2 linked regions of the Caenorhabditis elegans genome follow. The protein of the gene in region 1 interacts with the protein of each later gene in a pairwise test. Each region holds a gene or a part of one and is shown in the gene's direction. Other genes may lie near its edges.

What was found. The genes of interacting proteins can lie anywhere in the genome.
Region 2: the proteins of F16B12.6 (region 1) and gldi-8 interact in a two-hybrid assay, tested with the Caenorhabditis elegans proteins (one large-scale study listed by BioGRID).

Annotation. Positions count from the first base shown.
Region 1 is NC_003284.9:14,099,658-14,109,520, forward strand, and holds F16B12.6 (DUF7747 domain-containing protein), read left to right. Parts: upstream 1-2,658; 5' UTR 2,659-2,701; coding exon 2,702-2,767; intron 2,768-2,936; coding exon 2,937-3,266; intron 3,267-3,320; coding exon 3,321-3,523; intron 3,524-3,570; coding exon 3,571-3,861; intron 3,862-3,926; coding exon 3,927-4,251; intron 4,252-4,298; coding exon 4,299-4,463; intron 4,464-4,512; coding exon 4,513-4,789; intron 4,790-4,855; coding exon 4,856-5,028; intron 5,029-5,287; coding exon 5,288-5,787; intron 5,788-5,842; coding exon 5,843-6,071; intron 6,072-6,121; coding exon 6,122-6,211; intron 6,212-6,263; coding exon 6,264-6,404; intron 6,405-6,457; coding exon 6,458-6,639; intron 6,640-6,693; coding exon 6,694-6,854; intron 6,855-6,929; coding exon 6,930-7,609; intron 7,610-7,656; coding exon 7,657-8,022; 3' UTR 8,023-8,256; downstream 8,257-9,863. Other genes in the region: F16B12.7 (Protein kinase domain-containing protein), read left to right, coding at 8,888-9,164, 9,207-9,394, 9,566-9,817.
Region 2 is NC_003281.10:12,594,184-12,601,677, reverse strand, and holds gldi-8 (C2H2-type domain-containing protein), read left to right. Parts: upstream 1-2,993; 5' UTR 2,994-3,149; coding exon 3,150-3,251; exon of another isoform or gene 3,252-3,512; coding exon 3,513-3,743; intron 3,744-3,789; coding exon 3,790-4,512; intron 4,513-5,296; coding exon 5,297-5,533; 3' UTR 5,534-5,684; downstream 5,685-7,494. Other genes in the region: epc-1 (Enhancer of polycomb-like protein), read left to right, coding at 559-788, 1,138-1,204.

The DNA of each region.
Region 1 (9,863 bases):
GACTCATCATTTTTGTGACAATGGAAATCACTGGATTTTTGCCAATTCAATCAATTCACACAGTTATGTTTTTTCAATTCTTAGTTTAATTTTTTCAGTTTATGAATAATTAATAAATTCAGTTTAATGACTTAATTTTTAGGTTCGAAACATTTCAAAATGGGGATTCTTCAATCAAGATTAGTTGGACCATTTCTAAGAGACAAGATGTTAGTTATTGAAAGTGTTCACACAGTGGATCGCTGATATATTTAGTCAAAAATAAATTTCAAATTAGTGATAAAATATGAGAAATATCAGATACTCATTGCAAAAAAAGAGTTTGAAGATATTGTAAATACGTTTTGTTTTGATGAAAACATGTTTTTTAACTCTCAATTTTATATGACTATTATAACAGTTTTTGTCATCATTATCAAAAAGTTTCCAGCAGTTTTTATTTGAAAATATGTATGTGTATCTCTAATTTTTTTTGTACTTTCAGGGAAAATTTGTCAAGCGAGTCGATTTTGTCAATCGAGGGTGATGGTAAGTGTGTTAAAAGGAGTCATTTTAAAACATTAAAAATAAAGGACGATCCGTTCTTCAAGTGATATGCACTGCGGATCTGGGATTCAGGTACACTAGTGATCCCACTGGGCTATAATTTTAGCCACGTCCTAGCCGGGGACTGTGGCCGATAATCCAGTCGTGGATTGCTCCACTTCCAAATAGAGGCTGGGTGAACCTAGGGGGTGAGACCGGATTTGAACTCGTGACCTCCAGATTGCTATCCGCCGGACAGAGCAAAACGCAACTATTTTGCAACTCGACTTATTGGGATTAAACTTACTTGAGTATGCTGAATTGTACGGCGGAAAACTGGAAGTTCCGGAAGCTTTTCACTTGGCAAGACAAATGATCGATTTGCTTCACACAATACATGATAGGGGGATCGTTCACTGTGATATAAAACCAGCAAATTTTGCATTTGGTCTCAATGAAAAAAAGAATCAGCTTAATGTATGTTACTTCTACCTTAAATGTTTTGTGAACTCATGATTATTTGAACAATTTGACACATATAGTCAATATAACTATACCTTTAGCTCATCGACTTTGGATTAGCAGAATCGTTTCTTGATGATAGAGGAAATCACCGAGAGGTACATAATCGCCATTATCGAAAAGGAACTTATGTTTACATGAGTGCCAATCAGCACCATGAACAATGTTTTGGTAAGAGTTTTTTGTTTGCTTTTGTATCAGCACTTCTGATTGAGAATTCAGCTTTTTCAAAAAAAATTCTATTAACAATACCAAGACGAAAGGTTAAACCAAATATTTTTTGTTCGAACTATCTAATTACAGGAAATACCCGAAGAGATGACATGGAGTCCTTGGTTTATTCTTTGAGGAAAATACTTGACCTCACTATGTGCTGGAAAGAAGGACGGAGTGTGAACAATGATGATACTCATAGAAACTATTTCAACTTGAAACAAGGCAATCAAAAAAGTTGTTCACTTTGTGGAATACAGCCGATTAACGATATGCTTCAATCGTGCCGCATGCTCGAATTCAAAGATGAACCCAATTATGAAGCAGTGAAGCAGCTGTTTGTCTTGGATAAAGCTATGTCAAAAGCGTTGAAAAATAAGTTAGTTTAATATGTTTTTAAAGATAAAAAAATCAGATTTCATCAAAAAATTTAAAATTGCATGTAAATAAAATTTTCACTGCCATTTTCAGAAAGCATGTTCCACCAAAAGCTACATTCGACATTTCTTTGGACGAGGATCAACAGGTTTCAATTTGATTTAATTTCGAAAAACAATGATAATTTTATATTTTAGAAGTTGATCGACAAATTCAATATCTACTTCAACGAAGAAGACTATGATGCAATGTGAAACTTCTTTAACCACCTCCTTTGCAGTTTAACAATTGTCAGTTAATCTAGAATAAATTTTTTAAACATGTTTTATAAATGTTACTAATGAAAACAATTATGGGTTTTTAAAGTACATACTTTGTGTAGTCTTGGGTGTCAAAATATTAATCTCCCTACAACTTTCTAAATTTTGCCATAAAAGTTTTTTATGGAGCACATCTGTTGCATTATCTGTTGCTAAATTTACTTATCTTGCACTTTGAGGATTTTTTTAAAATTAATGAGTAATAATGGCAATCACAACTTAAACCAAATGTCAATTGTACTCGAAACGTGTGAACGTGAGTTTTCTTTTTTTGTAGACTTTTCTATTTGTGAAAGGAGGGCGCCCAATTTAATTAGTACCACATTTAGGATGCAAAAATTGTAAATTTAAAGAAGGTTTGTAGAAAAATACGTAAGATTTTTGAATCTTGTCACTCAAATTACACATACAAGTTTATCATCCTCACCACATAGCCCTATTTAAGTTCTGCTAAATTTATTGGGTTGATTCTTCGACAATTGCCCAACATTGTCGATCACCAACAAACAATGCAAATACGCTCCAACTCACACCGATAGGGAGAGGGGTGTGAATGCGCGCGAAACAGCAAGTGAACGGTCTCTCCGTTTACCACACTCTCTTACCTCGTTTTGTCATCTAACGCGCTCTCTCGCCACTCGCCTTGCGCGTCAGCCGGCCAGTTATTCTTTCCTTCTTTTCACATCGTTTTTTTTCATATTTCAAGCTATTTTTTGTCAATTTTCAACTTATTCAGTTTAGAAATGCCTCGCCGAAACTCAACAAAAAGTGCTGCACAACCGTCCGAAGAAACGCCAGCCGGAGAAGAGGTAAAACTGTTTAGGCTTTGAAAATTTCCGCAATTTTTAGTCTGTAGACACCGATAATGACGCCATTGAAAAATTCTCTCTCAATTTAAAGTTGCGAAGCATTATGAGAGAATTGTGAAAACAAAAAAAAACAGATGAAGCTAAAAATGCAACACAAAATAAAATTCAGAAACCTCTGCCGATGTGTCCTGAGGAATCTGCAAAGGACACCACTGTACAATCGTCCAGACCACGGCGAAATATTCGCAAAAACACTCTATACGACAACGAGAACTATGAGCTTGTGAATTCAGCGCCTGCTGCACCTCCCGAACGGACTCCATCAGTTTCAAGAACTCCAAATAGGACCAGTGCTGTTTCAGAGGTATCTACTGGAACCGATAAAAACTCAACTGCTATGATGCCTGATATGCTGAAAGGAGCGAAAAGAAGAAAGATTCCTCCTCATGTTGCTGAAATGATGGAGACACCAGTTGCACATAGGGCGAACTCAAATCAAGTGAGAAACACAGAAAACCTTTGTTCTTAAATAATCCTTTTTTCTTAATTACAGACTCCAAAATTCGATGATCAGTTGATGACTGATGGAGCCAACCTGGAAGTTGCAATGGAATTTGAGGTTCCTCACAATGACGAAGGACCTCCAGTGCTCGGGCCATCTACTGTTTTTGAAACTGAACCTGAAAGTTACAGGGAAAGCGACGAAGACTATAGTGTTAATGACTTTGCTCACCCTCCAGATCTTGAAAGGCACCCGTACGTAAATCCATTATGTAATGACAAAACTTTAATTTTTTTTACAGATTGAGCAAGCGAAGAGGACGTCCACGTCGACCACAAGAGCAGCTGGAGACCAATGTTAAATTGAAACTGACCCGTCCAGCTTCAAAAGCTCAGCGAGCCCCACCAACTGAGCCAGTTGCTGCTAGAACCGCCACTGCTAATCAAAGGCATATTAAGCTATTTGAGGAAGAGTTGGATACAACCCCCGGCGGAGAGTCCTATGCAACCGTGGTGAATGGGTGCCTGACTGAGCTGCTGAGAAAGGAGCGGATTATTGATCTCCTCACAAACCCGGACGAAATTGAGTTGATGTAAGTGAAAAATGACAACTGTTGCAATGCGATATCAATAATCTAAGCACATTATAAATTTTCAGAAAGCAAGCAGGATGGTTTCTTCCAAGACCACCACGTCTTCCTCCACTTGTCACCGACAAAGTATGCTTCGCATTCTACGTGGATGGTAGTCAGCAGAAAAATGCTAAAGATCTCTCCAACGATGACCTCCGTCCGTGGAGTGTGACAAATGATCATCAGAACACGACTGGCGGCCCAAACACAATCAAGCCAAATGTTCGAAGACACCCGGTGGCTCGACTCAATGGCGAGCTGAAGACAGTCAAGCATGAGACACGTCTCGCTGAGTATCACTTAACGGAGTACAGCGCTAGATTACCTCGGGAGCAGAGACTGAGAAAAAAGGTAGCTAAACTGAAGATATTTGAACACAACATTGATTTTCTTTCCAGATTTTCTACCTGACCCGTGACAATCAAATCTTTGGAAATGTGCTTATTCTGTATGATTATGTGAATCCAGGAAATGCCCCAATCCCAGTATGCCTTCCTCATGGCAATGATCATCTGCGAAGAGCAGTCACAGATGATCAAGATGGATTTGACAATGATTTGCCGGTTTGTAATTATATAATTGGTTACCTCATTTATAATTTTATGCTTTCAGTTTGAGCCGCAACGCATAGAAGGAACCCGTGGAGCTGGAGTCTACCTCAGGTTGCGTCCGAACAAATTGGGATGGGCTCAGAACAAGAAAAACTTGCTGGATTATTTATTCAATAAAGTTGACATTCTGGATGAACTTGGCGCTCTAAACAATCGCCTCCCAGATCTTCCGCCACTGATTGAGACGGTCGGAGTCTTTGCATATTTTGTTCCGGCCTGTCATGTTGTCAACCAAATTCACCACGCTGCTGATGGCTTATCTCCATGGACCACTAATCGTGAGTTGCTGTTTGCGAAGCACCAATATGCGGTCGTTTAACCGTTTTAATTTTGATAAATTTCAGCAGGCGCTGGCGAAGGAACACCGACAGTGCGTGTGCGGTCAACAAAGAAGAACTTGATATTGGACGAAGCTCACAATCACTTTATGGTATCAAGAGACCAGAAAACTCCATCCGACTATATTCTCGTAGAGACAATGTCGACACTTGCCAGATGCAAAAGAGTGAGAAAGAGGGTAAGTTAACCAACAGTCCGCAAGTACCACGACGCACATTTGCGTACTTAAGTTTGCGTACTTAAATTTGCGTACTTAAATTTTGCGTCGTAAATCTACACCACACGCTGTGCAATATTTAACAAAATGAAAGGGCATACACCACCTGGGGTTGTTGCTGCTAAATTATCAGACCGTTGACGGAACTGAAATTATAGTGCAGTAGTCATAAATAATGTCATAAAAAATATTGTACATTGCAATTCTTCAATCATTTCAGGTTTTCTATATCCAACAAGCCGGCGCTGTTATTCATGGAAATGTCTGCTACACGTATGAGTTTGTTTACGACGGTCCGTTGCCAACCTTCTACCCACCATTGGACGCGAAGAGTTACAGTAGATGGTCAGGAGGATCACCACTGAAAAAGCCGGTCAATTCAATGGACATGCACTCTCACATGATGGTAGAGCAGGATTCATATGATATGATTCCTGTTGACGATGACGGAATCGTTGATGTCGTTGACGTTCACAAGGAAATGCTCGTTCAGCAGGAGGATGATCAGATGGAGAACCTTCTAACGTATCCCGATACGCTGAACAACGGATTTGATCCAGAATTCAATGATGATCCGATTGATAAAGCCGAGAATCCGAATGCATACTATGATGAGCCCCGTGTTTTGTCAACGGGTCACGTATACTTGACTGTTCGTCATAAAAAGTTGGTTACCGTCATGGATCATGTTCTCGAATGGATTGCAAATTCGAACATTGTGTAAGTTCTTGAAAATGTAATCAGTTTGATTTTCAACTATTTTCAAATATTTCAGTGAGGAGCGTGGTGTCCTGAACGACACGAAACCGTCTCACCCACCATTGGTCACCAACTCTAGGGCCTACGCCTTTTTTGTAGCCGGTACTGCCATATTCCCCCATGACATTAATCGCGACGACTTCTCACCATGGTCTCGCAACGGAACGCCTGATCAGCCGACCTGCTATCGTACAAAAGTTCGAAAGCTTGGAGTGATTTGCGATCCTCAAAATTCAACGTTTTTGGTATGGAATATTTACTGGCACTATTGTTTTAAACGTAAACTGTTTTTAAGCTGAAAGAAAATACCAACTACAAAACTTGTCCATTCCATCTCGTCTACTTGTATTCGATTAATCCAAAGGAGCCTAGACTGCGAAAAAAGGTGTTTTAAACAATGTTATTTGATTTTTATAAACTAATAATTTGGTTTTCAGATCTACTACCTGATGGAAACCCAATCAAAAATGGTTGTCAGTCATGCATTGATTATGTACGACTACAACCATGAAGGCAACATCCCACGTCTCAACGCTGGCCAATACAAGCCACTCACTAAGAGGAGTTACGCTAGAACCGTATGTTTCTAACATCATAAGATTTTGACTTAATAACAATACAATAATTACAGAATCATATGCAGCATGATTTGATGAATGATGTCTCGGAAGGCGAAGAGAGCAGAGATTGCCCATTCATATTGCCTGCAGAGACTGCTGCTGATGGGACGTTTTACCTACAGCTCGATGACTTGGAATTCTGGAATGACCGGAACCGACAGATTCAGTACTTGGTCAATCAATCTGATTTGGTGTAAGTTGATTGAAAGAAAAATAGAAAAGCTAAGCTTAAAAAAAGTAATTTCAGTGAACAACTCGGATGCCTCAACACAAAAGTTCCCGATCTTCCACCATCGATAACTGGAAAAGGAACATTTGTCTTTTTTGTGAACGGAGAAGAAGTCAACTTTAGATCATTGACCACAGATAAACTGACTCCGTGGTCAGAAAACACTTGCTCTAATCCTCGTAAGTCTTATGAATTTTTTACAAAAATTTTCATAGACGTGTTGAGTAACTTCCCGCAAGCTCCATTAGTTTCAGATGGAATAACCAAAAGGCCGAAATCATCAAAAACTCCGCTCGGATTCAATCGTCACAATCAACTGCGAGTCTGCAAGGGGAATGCTCTGGCCGTGGATCCGATTGAATTCCAGTTGCACATTTACACTGCAACATTGCCCCGCTGCACACGGCTTCGCAAAAAAGTTGTCTATGTGCAACGAGACGGAAACCAGTATGGACACGGTTTGATCATGTACAGCTACACTGAGCCCGGAGCTGTGCCACAGCCAATTCAGAAGACTATTCAACCTTCGACTGATGAATGGTTCAGCAGCCTTCCATCAAACATCAGAGAGGATGTGTTCCATTTGCTGAAAACTGCCCCAGTAAATGAAACAGCGAAGATAATTCATCAGGAACATGGAATTCATATTAGTCCAAATATGTTGTTCAGTCTCAAACGGCGAGAACTTTCTGGTTCTCATGCTGACAACGACACTTTTGTCACTGAATGGACCGGAGCTGATGGTGCAGGACCATCGACATCGGCTAAAACTGAGACTGTGGAAGAGGTGGTGATTGAAGAGCAAATTCCAAAAACAATCATGGGTCACGAAATGATGATTGGAGGAGACATGATTGTCGAGCACATTGAAGAAGTTGGAGACGTCTATGGGCAATCAATGATGAGAAGAAATCCATTTTTGGAGAAAAGCGTGGTTAGTGTTTGTATAATTGATTCGTTTTTTAAATTCTCAATTTTCAGACTACTGCTGGATTTGTTCGTGGATCTCAGCGATATGATGCTCTTTGGCGAATTGCGCAAAAACAGTTTGGTTCGGAGTGCATTGATGACACTTTTGACAGCTTGTTCCGACTATTATACGAAAAGAACGAGCAGCGCTTGCTCCAAATGATCAATGAGACATTCCACGTGGACATTTTCTCTGGCGACCAAGAGATTGTGGAGGAAGGTGTCGAATACATGCAAGAAGAACTTGTTGTGCATCCTGGTAATCATCTTGTCGGACACGAGGAACTGGGAAGACACGAGGAACACATTGAACATCCTGAAGTACAAGGCCATTTGGAACATGAAGTTATTGAAGCCCCAGAAGATCCTATGGTTTAAAATTATGATTAACTGGAACAGACATTGTTCGAAAAATCATATAACTGTAAATTAAATTGATCTTATAATATTGTTTTACCCTTTAAAATCCGTGTTATGTCATATCTATCTATTATTCCGTTTTACACCAAATGTTTTTTGCCACTATAGAATGACAAGGTGATCTTTTTTCTGTTCTCAGCAAATTGAAAATCAAACATAATACACTGACACAGATGAAGTTATAATAATGCATAGTAGTTTAAAAAAAGGTATTCGGCTGAATATCTGAATAACAACATTTTAATGTAAGGTGCAAAGCATGGATGTGCGGCAAATTTGCCAAACACGGTAAATTTCAAAAAAGTAGATTTGCCAAATTTTCCAAGCTCCGTAATTTTTTATGTTTGCCCCAGCTGCAAAGGAGCATACAACCCCCATGAAAACCAGTTATTGGTCTGTATTTTCACCCGAAACAGAAACATCTGAAAGGTAAAATTTGGTTAAGCAAATCCCTAATGTTTCAAGTCCGTTACTACAAACAACTCTGTGACCTAGATTCCAGGTTCTGTAAAAAATTTCAAACACGTCACTTTATGTGCAGGGTACTCACCGGTCTTCAATGATAGCCATTTATTTCAAAGAAATTGAAAAAAAGTCAAAAATTAAATCAAATGTATTTCACGCATTCACGTGAAATGTCAGTTTTGAAATAAATCATTTCTTAATTTTAAACTTACACTTTCCGCGGTTTTCTTCAAACTCTCCCTTTTCGATTTGTTTGAATTTCTCGGTTTTTCTATAGTAAATGTAATTTTTTTGAAATGTTTATTTTAGCTGAAAACCTAAGGGAAATTAGTTTACAATTACTGTATCACGTTTTCAGATGGTTGATTTGGTAGGAAAAGTTGTCAAAGAGTACTATGTAAGTTACTTAATTGGTGAAGGATCGTATGGAAGTATTGTTGCTGTAAACGATATGGAAGAACTGAACAAAGAAAAAGTAATTAAGCTTGTTAAATTTGTTCACGGGAGTCAACGAGAAAAATCATTCAAGACGGAGCTATCAGTTTTTCGCAAACTGGACTCTCTTGGTAATTCAAAAAGAAATGGATTTCCCCAATTTTGTGAGAATTTTCAAGTTGACGGATATTATGCAATTGGTGAGTTTCACCTTGTCCGATAACACTTAATATTTGTTTCAGTCTTAAGCGACGAAGGAGACAATCTTAATGACATTAGAAAAAGAAACAAAAATTTAGTTTTCAATCGTAAAAATGTCGCGACAGTTGGATGTGCAGTCTCCCGTTCCTTGAGTACTCTTCACTCCATTGGCTTTTTCCACGCTGATTTGCACGAACAAAATCTGATGGTTCCGGTTCCAATTGATAAGGTTATAATATAATTTTTTCAAACATTTTTATGTAGTATCCGTGCCGAAAAATCAATATTCCAATCAATTTTTGTTTCAATCAACAGTTTAATCAAAACGTGAGGTTAGAAGGCTTCGAAAATCATTTTTTTTCCATTTTTTTTTCAATTATCAACTTTCTATATTTTTCAGATTAATCCAATAAAGCTTATTGATTTCGGATTGAGCAAAAGATTCAAAACTCGAAAAAGGCGTAACTGCATCGATAAAACGTACAAGGTACTACTTGCTGATGAACGACGTTGTTCATTCAACATCGCTTGTGGCGGTGATTATCGAAAAAGCGACGACTTTGAGAGCTTATTTTATATTTTGCTTATCGATCTAGGATTAAGCTGCTACCGGGAAAACAAAGCACAGAGATTTCTGACTAAGCTTAAATTGGTTAGTTAAATTGCAAAATCTTCTATTGTTTTTTAAAATTACATTT
Region 2 (7,494 bases), on another chromosome or scaffold:
CTCAAAAAATGACCTAAAATTTGTTAAAATTTGAAATTTGACTTGTCGCAACGGCTGGAAACAATTTTTTTTTTTGAAATCACCGTCAAATTTTGAGTATAAAATTTAATTATTTTGCGTTTTCAACTCGATTTTTGGTATTTTCAAGTCGATGGACGGCAAGATTTGGTTAAAAAATTAAAAGCCGTCCATTTTCTCGCCGTCCATTGACTTTAAACTACCTAAATCGAGTTGAAAACGCAAGATAATTGACATTTATACCCAAAATTTGACTGTGGTTTTAAAAAAGTTAGTTTCCAGCCGCTGCGACAAGTCAAATTTCCAATTTTAACTATTTTAGGCCATTTTTTGAGCCATCATAACTTTTTTTTGAGAAGTTTTTAAGAAGTTTCATCATGAAATTCGGTGTTTTCAGACAATTTTGAGTCTAATAAAGTAATTTTAAAAAATTCGACAGACACCACCTTTATAGCAATTTTGAATTTTTTTTTAAACTTGTCTTGAAAAATCTTGAAAAAAGTCGAATAAATTCCCATTTTCCTATTTTCTTTTTTGCAGATGTGCGGAACGGTGTCGGACTCAGATGATTGGAGAGAGCCGAGTGGATCACCATCAGAATCGAATTCATCAACCGAATGGGGTGGCTATACGCCACAAGAACAGCATGCAGTTGTTGTTGCCAACGCGGTAGCTGTCGCTTTCAAGGAAAAATTGATGAATGGCGTGGATGATGATGATGATCAACAACCATCGCCGGCTAGAGGAGCACGAGATCATTCCATCAAAGAGTTCGTTAGTTTTTCTTTGCTTTTTTTTTTTTTGATTTTTGAGAGCAAATTTGAAAAGTTTTACACGGTTTTTGAAAAACTGTTGAAATTAAAATTTGTTGAGAATTTGATTTCGAGCAAGTTTTATTTTTAAAAAATTGAATTTTTCAGAAAATTCTGAGTTTTCTTTTTAAAAAATTGAAATTTTCAGAAAATTCTGAGTAGCAAGAATCTTTAAGATCCTTAATTTCTATGCAAGAATACGTAGGAGTTTTACTTTGCTCAGGAAATTTTATTTTTTGTCAGAGGAGTATATCCGAAAAAGAACAAAAAAAATGCACATTTCTCAAAACGCGTATTTTTTTTTCAGTTCGATGTCAACGGTAACACTGCTGGAACGGAAAAAGTTCATGATGCCGTCGACAATCGGTCTATAATTTGAACTCTCTGCTGCTGCTTCTGCTACTGCTGCTACTGCTGCTCATCGCCAATTTTCAATCCTCCTGAGATTTTTTGATGGTCATTCATTGTTTTGTGCATATCTCTCTCTCTCTCTCTCTCTCCCATGATTCTCAAATATTTCAATGTATTTACACCCCCACTCTGTCCGCTGCCTAATCCCCGACCGAATAATCAGATTCGCTGGAAAAATCTGCGATTCTTTAATATTGCAACCACCCACCCAATAATATGTGTCTCATCATCTCGGTACTCTCACTTGAGCCGTGTTTTCTGTAGTATTTTATTCTCTAAAAAAAAATCATTTTTAATATAATATACGTACACATTTATATCTGTAATATATATTTTTAAAAATGATTCCCCCCTCCCCTCCATTCGTTGTTTTTTTTCTGTGGGTTTCAAGCTTTTGAGCTGTGAAAAATCTCATCCCATCATCATTTTCTATTGTTTTTTTTCACAGTTGAAATATCCTATTTTATCTTTTTCCTTTTTTTTTCATTTTTTTTTTTTCATCGTGCGGGATTCATTTTTCGTCCCGCGAAACGCCCGCCGCCGCCCAATCCCACTCTCTCTCTCAGTCTCTTCTTAATGATCTTCGAAACTATTTTTATTTCCCTCATTAACAATTACGAGGTCGTCTTTTTTTTTCCCCACCCCCCACTGTTTGGTGTAATTTTTGTGTTCGGGGAGGTTTTTTGTGTGTGGATTTTTGGATTTTTTGGATTTTTTCAACAAAAAATTCCCCCGAAATCAAAATTTTTTCCCATTTTCCCCTCAATATTAGTACTGTTGTATAAATAAACTTGCTCTCTCTCTCTCTCTCGAAATCTCCTACTATTATTTTTTTAAAAGATTTTTCCAACAAAAATTCAAAAAACCACACAAACGACCTCTCTGCACGCGGTAATCCTCTCTCTTTTTGTCCCCCATTTTCTCTGTTTCTCTTTTTTTCTATCCCCTATACCTGTGATTGGAATATCCCATTTTTCCAGCAACAAACCAGCAAAAACAAAAAAAAAAAACTTGAAGAATTTCAAAAAAAAAATGACAAAAAAATCATAAAAATCAAAAGAACCTACATTTTTGTTGCATTTTATAGACACACACACGCACACACACAAGCAAACAGACATAAAAATTCAAATTTTTCGAAAAATTAAAAAAAAAAAAAAATTTCCCTCCCAAGGCCACCTGGGCGCCAAAAAGATAGTGGGTGGCCATGAAAAGTGCAATACTTTTTTGAAATAAAAAATAGTGTGAATATCGGAGAGACGCAGAGAAGAAAGGTCGAAAAAGTGAAAAAAGAAGAATTCTTTGTTCCCTTTCGTTTTTCCAATCCAATTGAATAGGACTTTGAGATTACTGTAGTCCAAAACTAAGGTCCCCGGGGGTCTCGACACGAAAATTGTTTTTGTTAAATGCGGAAAAAGGTATGCGCCTTTAAGGAGTACTGTAGTTTCAAAAAATTTGGTTTTTTCTCCAAAAACAGTTTTAAAAAAATCGAATTTTTTTCTTTCTCCAGTCTAAAAATGTGTTTTTAAAGGTGCACAATATTTTTCAGATGGGTATCGGCGCGCAAAAAAAGTTAATGGTAATAGTTTCTTCAAAATTATATGCGGTTTTCAGAGAAATTTTGAGTTTTTCTTTTAATTATATCAAATATTTGGACGAAAATTTAAAGGATTAATGCACAGATCCATTTTTTCTTCCTTTTTTTACTAGAAAAACTATGTAAAATTTTTTTTTTAAATCGCAATTTTCTCCAGGTATACGGTAAGCAAGTCCGCAAACACCGAAGCATTGCTGCACGCGTCGCACGACCGCGACGCGTCTCCCCCCTCTTTCGTCACGCGCTCATCGATTTTCGAAGTGAACACACAACCAGTTTCGTCAATTTTCTGCGCTATTTCTTCATTTTTAATGGAGATTTACGATTATCCAATGTCGTACGCTGATTTAACTCCTGTGACAAGCTGCTCATCATCGTCAAATTCTGAAGCGGACGCTAACAACTTTTCAACGGTTATCCTTTATTAAAAAATGTCAAATTTCTTTAAAAATGGCTTTTTTTTCGATCAAATCTTGTGTTTTTTCGGCAAACACTATTCGAAGCCATTGGGTGTGTCAGTGACAATGTTTATCCTCGAACAAAAATGTAATTAAACCAATTAAACCAACCAAAAAAACTAAACTCAAACTTGGGAAAATTAAACCTACTCAGATGCTTTATGCTGAGGTCTTCTCACTACCGCCGACCAATTTTACTTATTTTTTTATTTTCAGAAGAACAAAAATGTCAATGAATTCCAAAAACTCATTGAAGAATTGGAATTTGAGCCGGAAGACCGAAGAGTTCCCGAGGTAGCTGAAGAAGTTGAATCCGAAGACGAGGAAGAGGAAGATGTCCAAATCAAGTATCCTTACGAACGGAAAGACGCTTATCAAGACCTCCAAGAAAGGATCGAGCGCAGGCTAAACGATTCTGGAGATGAGAAGCTTGAGCAGAAGGCGAAGGTAAGATTATTTTTTTTTAATTTGCAACTGAAACTTTTTATTCCAGGAACTTCAATCGCTTATCCGAATGAGCCAATCACAATGGAAAGTCGAGCAAAAGCAACAGCTGGAAGATTCTCTGTTGAAGCCACACACTGCTGGATCGATTTTCACTTGCGTTATGTGCTCGAAAGCATTCCCGAACGCTGAAGCTCTCCAGATTCACACTGATCAAGTGCATGATTTGTCTAGATTAAAGCATCGTTGTAAGCTGTGCGGAAAAGCTTATAAGCGCAAGAAGAACCTTGATGCTCATATGGCCCTCCATCTCAAGGAAATCCAATGCGACAACTGCTCACTGGTCTTTCAATCTGAAAAATCGTTGCAAAGTCACATAATCCGGCATCATCAAGAGGATGCGGATGAACTTGAAGTATGGAAGGCGCCGTGCTCGATTTGCAAGGAGCTATTCCCATCAACATCTGTCAAAACTCACGAATGGTACTGCAAGAATAGGGAGAAAATTATTGAAAAACAGCGAGTATCGAAGATTCTGAAAGTACAAAGTTTGCCGTCAAGCCCAGCTCTTTCCACCGTCAGTTATGCATCATTCTCAAGCTGTCAGCCTGGGCCAATCACAAGCCCAGTCTCCTATAGGGATAAATCGTGTCAAGTGTGTGGAGAGAGCTTCGCGAGCCGACAATCAATGCTCCGGCATGTTGGTAGAAAACATCCAGATGCCAAGAACGATCCAAATGTCACGGCTGTGAGATACATTAGCGCTGAATCGGTAAGGATAAGAATTTAAAGGTGGACTACGCTCAGTGGGGAAATTGCTTTAAAACACGACTATGGTACCACAATGACCGAATATCATGATAAAAAATTCTAGATTTTATATTATTTTTTGAAAATTGAAAAAATCTCGAATTGCATCAAATTCCCATTTAAACCTCCCGCCAAGTGATTTTATCGATGGAGCGCGCTTGCTCGTTTTTATTTTAATTTATTGTTATTTTTTCTTATTTTTCGCCGATTTTTCATGTTTTCAGTGTAATTTTATGAGAAATTTGAAGAAAAAGTCAAAATAATGCAAATTCTCGATTAAAAATCAACTTTGCAAGCGTAAAAACGAAGAAGTACCACTTTTAAACGATTTGGAGCCAGTAGTATTTGATTTCACAGATTTACGCTTGTAAAGTTGATTTTTAATCGAGAATTTGCATTATTTTGGCTTTTTCTTCAAATTTCTCATAAAAATACACTGAAAACATGAAAAATCGGCGAAAAATAAGAAAAAATAACAATAAATTAAAATAAAAACGAGCAAGCGCGCTCCATCGATAAAATCACTTGGCGGGAAGTTTAAATGGGAAATTGATGCAATTCGAGATTTTTTTTCAATTTTCAAAAAATCATATAAAATTTTTAATTTTTTTTTTGAATTTTTTTTATCATGATATTCGGTCATTGTGACCCCATAGGCATGTTTTAAAGCAATTTCCCCACTGTCGCTACTCCACCTTTAATGAATGAAAATTTAAAATTAATGAATTAAAATTTAAAATTTTCAGCCCAAGCATCCATATGCTTGCATTGAATGCGGAAAACGATTCACAACGGTCACCGCTTTGTCAACACACAAGGCTCGTGTTCATTCACAATCCAATCGCTTTGAATGCACAATTTGCCACAAATCCTATCCGGTTCCATCAGAATTGAGGAAGCACATCAAAAGAGTTCATGAGAAGGATGCGCCCAAATCTCGATCAGCATTGGAAGAATTACCGGAAATGGACGATATTTTCTAAATTTCTCTAGATTCAAATGTTCAAGATTTTGCTGTAATTTTCCCACCTCCCCCCCCCCCTTTATTTTCAAAATACCGGTCCGAACGGGTTCCAACCGAGTTTACTAGATATTCATGTAGAGATTTCAACACAATAAATGAATTAAAATGCGTGAAGCCTATTCCTCTGCAAATTAATTCCAGCCAGCGGATTTCAAGCTTGATGACATTGAAAAATATTGGGTAGTTGTCTCACCGAGAACAGGCCTAGTTTTACGAACAGGCTTAATATTAGGATTAGGCTTTGGCTTAGAATTAGGCTTAGGCTTGATTTCAGGCTTTGACTAAAGCTTAGGTTTGGGCTTAGGCTTGTGCTTTGGCTTAGGCTTTGGTTTTGGCTTTTTTTTTTTTTTGGCTTAGCTAACGCTCCCCCACTGACGCTATGTAGAGATTTTTCATATATTTTATTAAAATCAGGGCTTCGCCCCGATTTTAATAAAATATATGAAACCCTCTTAAAAAGTTACAAGAAGGTTTTTCCTTGCGCTTGGAGCGCAAAAGAAAAGAAAAAGAGCTATTTAGACTTAGGGTGCCCAACTGGAATAAAATATAGGAAATCCTTATGACACACCGGCGGTATGGCGCGGCTTAAGCCTAAATAGCCACTTTTATCAAAATACATTTGAGCGAGGCGGCTGTAAACTATTCGTTCTTTAGCAAAAATTAAAAAAAAAACTTTATTTAAATTTAAAAATAAATATCATATGTTATCACACCTTAGAATATCACGCCTTAATTTAGTAATCATTTTTACTTCATAAATGTGAGAGAAAGAAAAATGGATTAATCATCGGAATTAAATATCATCAGAGTGATTATATTCATCAAAGGTCCCACTCTACTGGAGGGTTAATTTGGTTGATATAAAATTCCTATCTCATGTAAAGAAAGGTTCGAATTCTGTACCTATGACACACTTAAGCCTAAAGGCCCGAAAAACATACTAGGATGCCCAACTGGAATAAAATATTGGAAATCCTTATGACACACCGGCGGTATGGCGCGGCTTAAGCCTAAATAGCCACTTTTATCAAAATACATTTGAGCTCGTCTTGCGTTTTACTTTGACTTCTCAGGCAACTCAAAAGTAATCTGTGGATATTTTTCAGTAATCTAAATGAAGATTATTTCTAAGAAACTTGAAAATTTTGTAATATTTGAAGGGATGCGAGCAATCTCTACATATTTGCGATCAACCTTTGGAGATTTTTTTTCTTAGTGAAGTTATTGAATGCCAATATTCAAATTCCCATCTCATGGGAAGAAAAGTTCAAATTCTGTACCTGCGTATATTTTTTTATAACTCCGTTTTTCCCACAAGAAAGGCCTTCTTCCCATAAGATAGGAATTCAAATATCGACAGCATTCATAGGTACAGAATTCGAACCTTTCTTTACATGAAATAGGAATTTTATATCAACCAAATTAATCCTCCAATAAAGTGAGACATTTGATGAATATAATCACTCTGATGATATTTAATTCCGATGATTAATCCATTTTTCTTTCTCTCACATTTATGAAGTAAAAATGATTACTAAATTAAGGCGTGATATTCTAAGGTCTGATAACATATGATATTTATTTTTAAATTTAAATAAAGTTTTTTTTTTATTTTTGCTAAAGAACGAATAGTTTACAGCCGCCTCGCTCAAATGTATTTTGATAAAAGTGGCTATTTAGGCTTAAGCCGCGCCATTCCGCCGGTGTGTCATAAGGATTTCCAATATTTTATTCCAGTTGGGCATCCTAGTTTTTTTTTCGGGCCCTTAGGCTTAAGTGTGTCATAAGGATTTCCTATATTTTATTCCAGTTGGGCACCCTAAGTCTAAATAGCTCTTTTTCTTTTCTTTTGCGCTCCAAGCGCAAGGAAAAACCTTCTTGTAACTTTTTAAGAGGGTTTAGAATTAGGCTTAGGCGTTA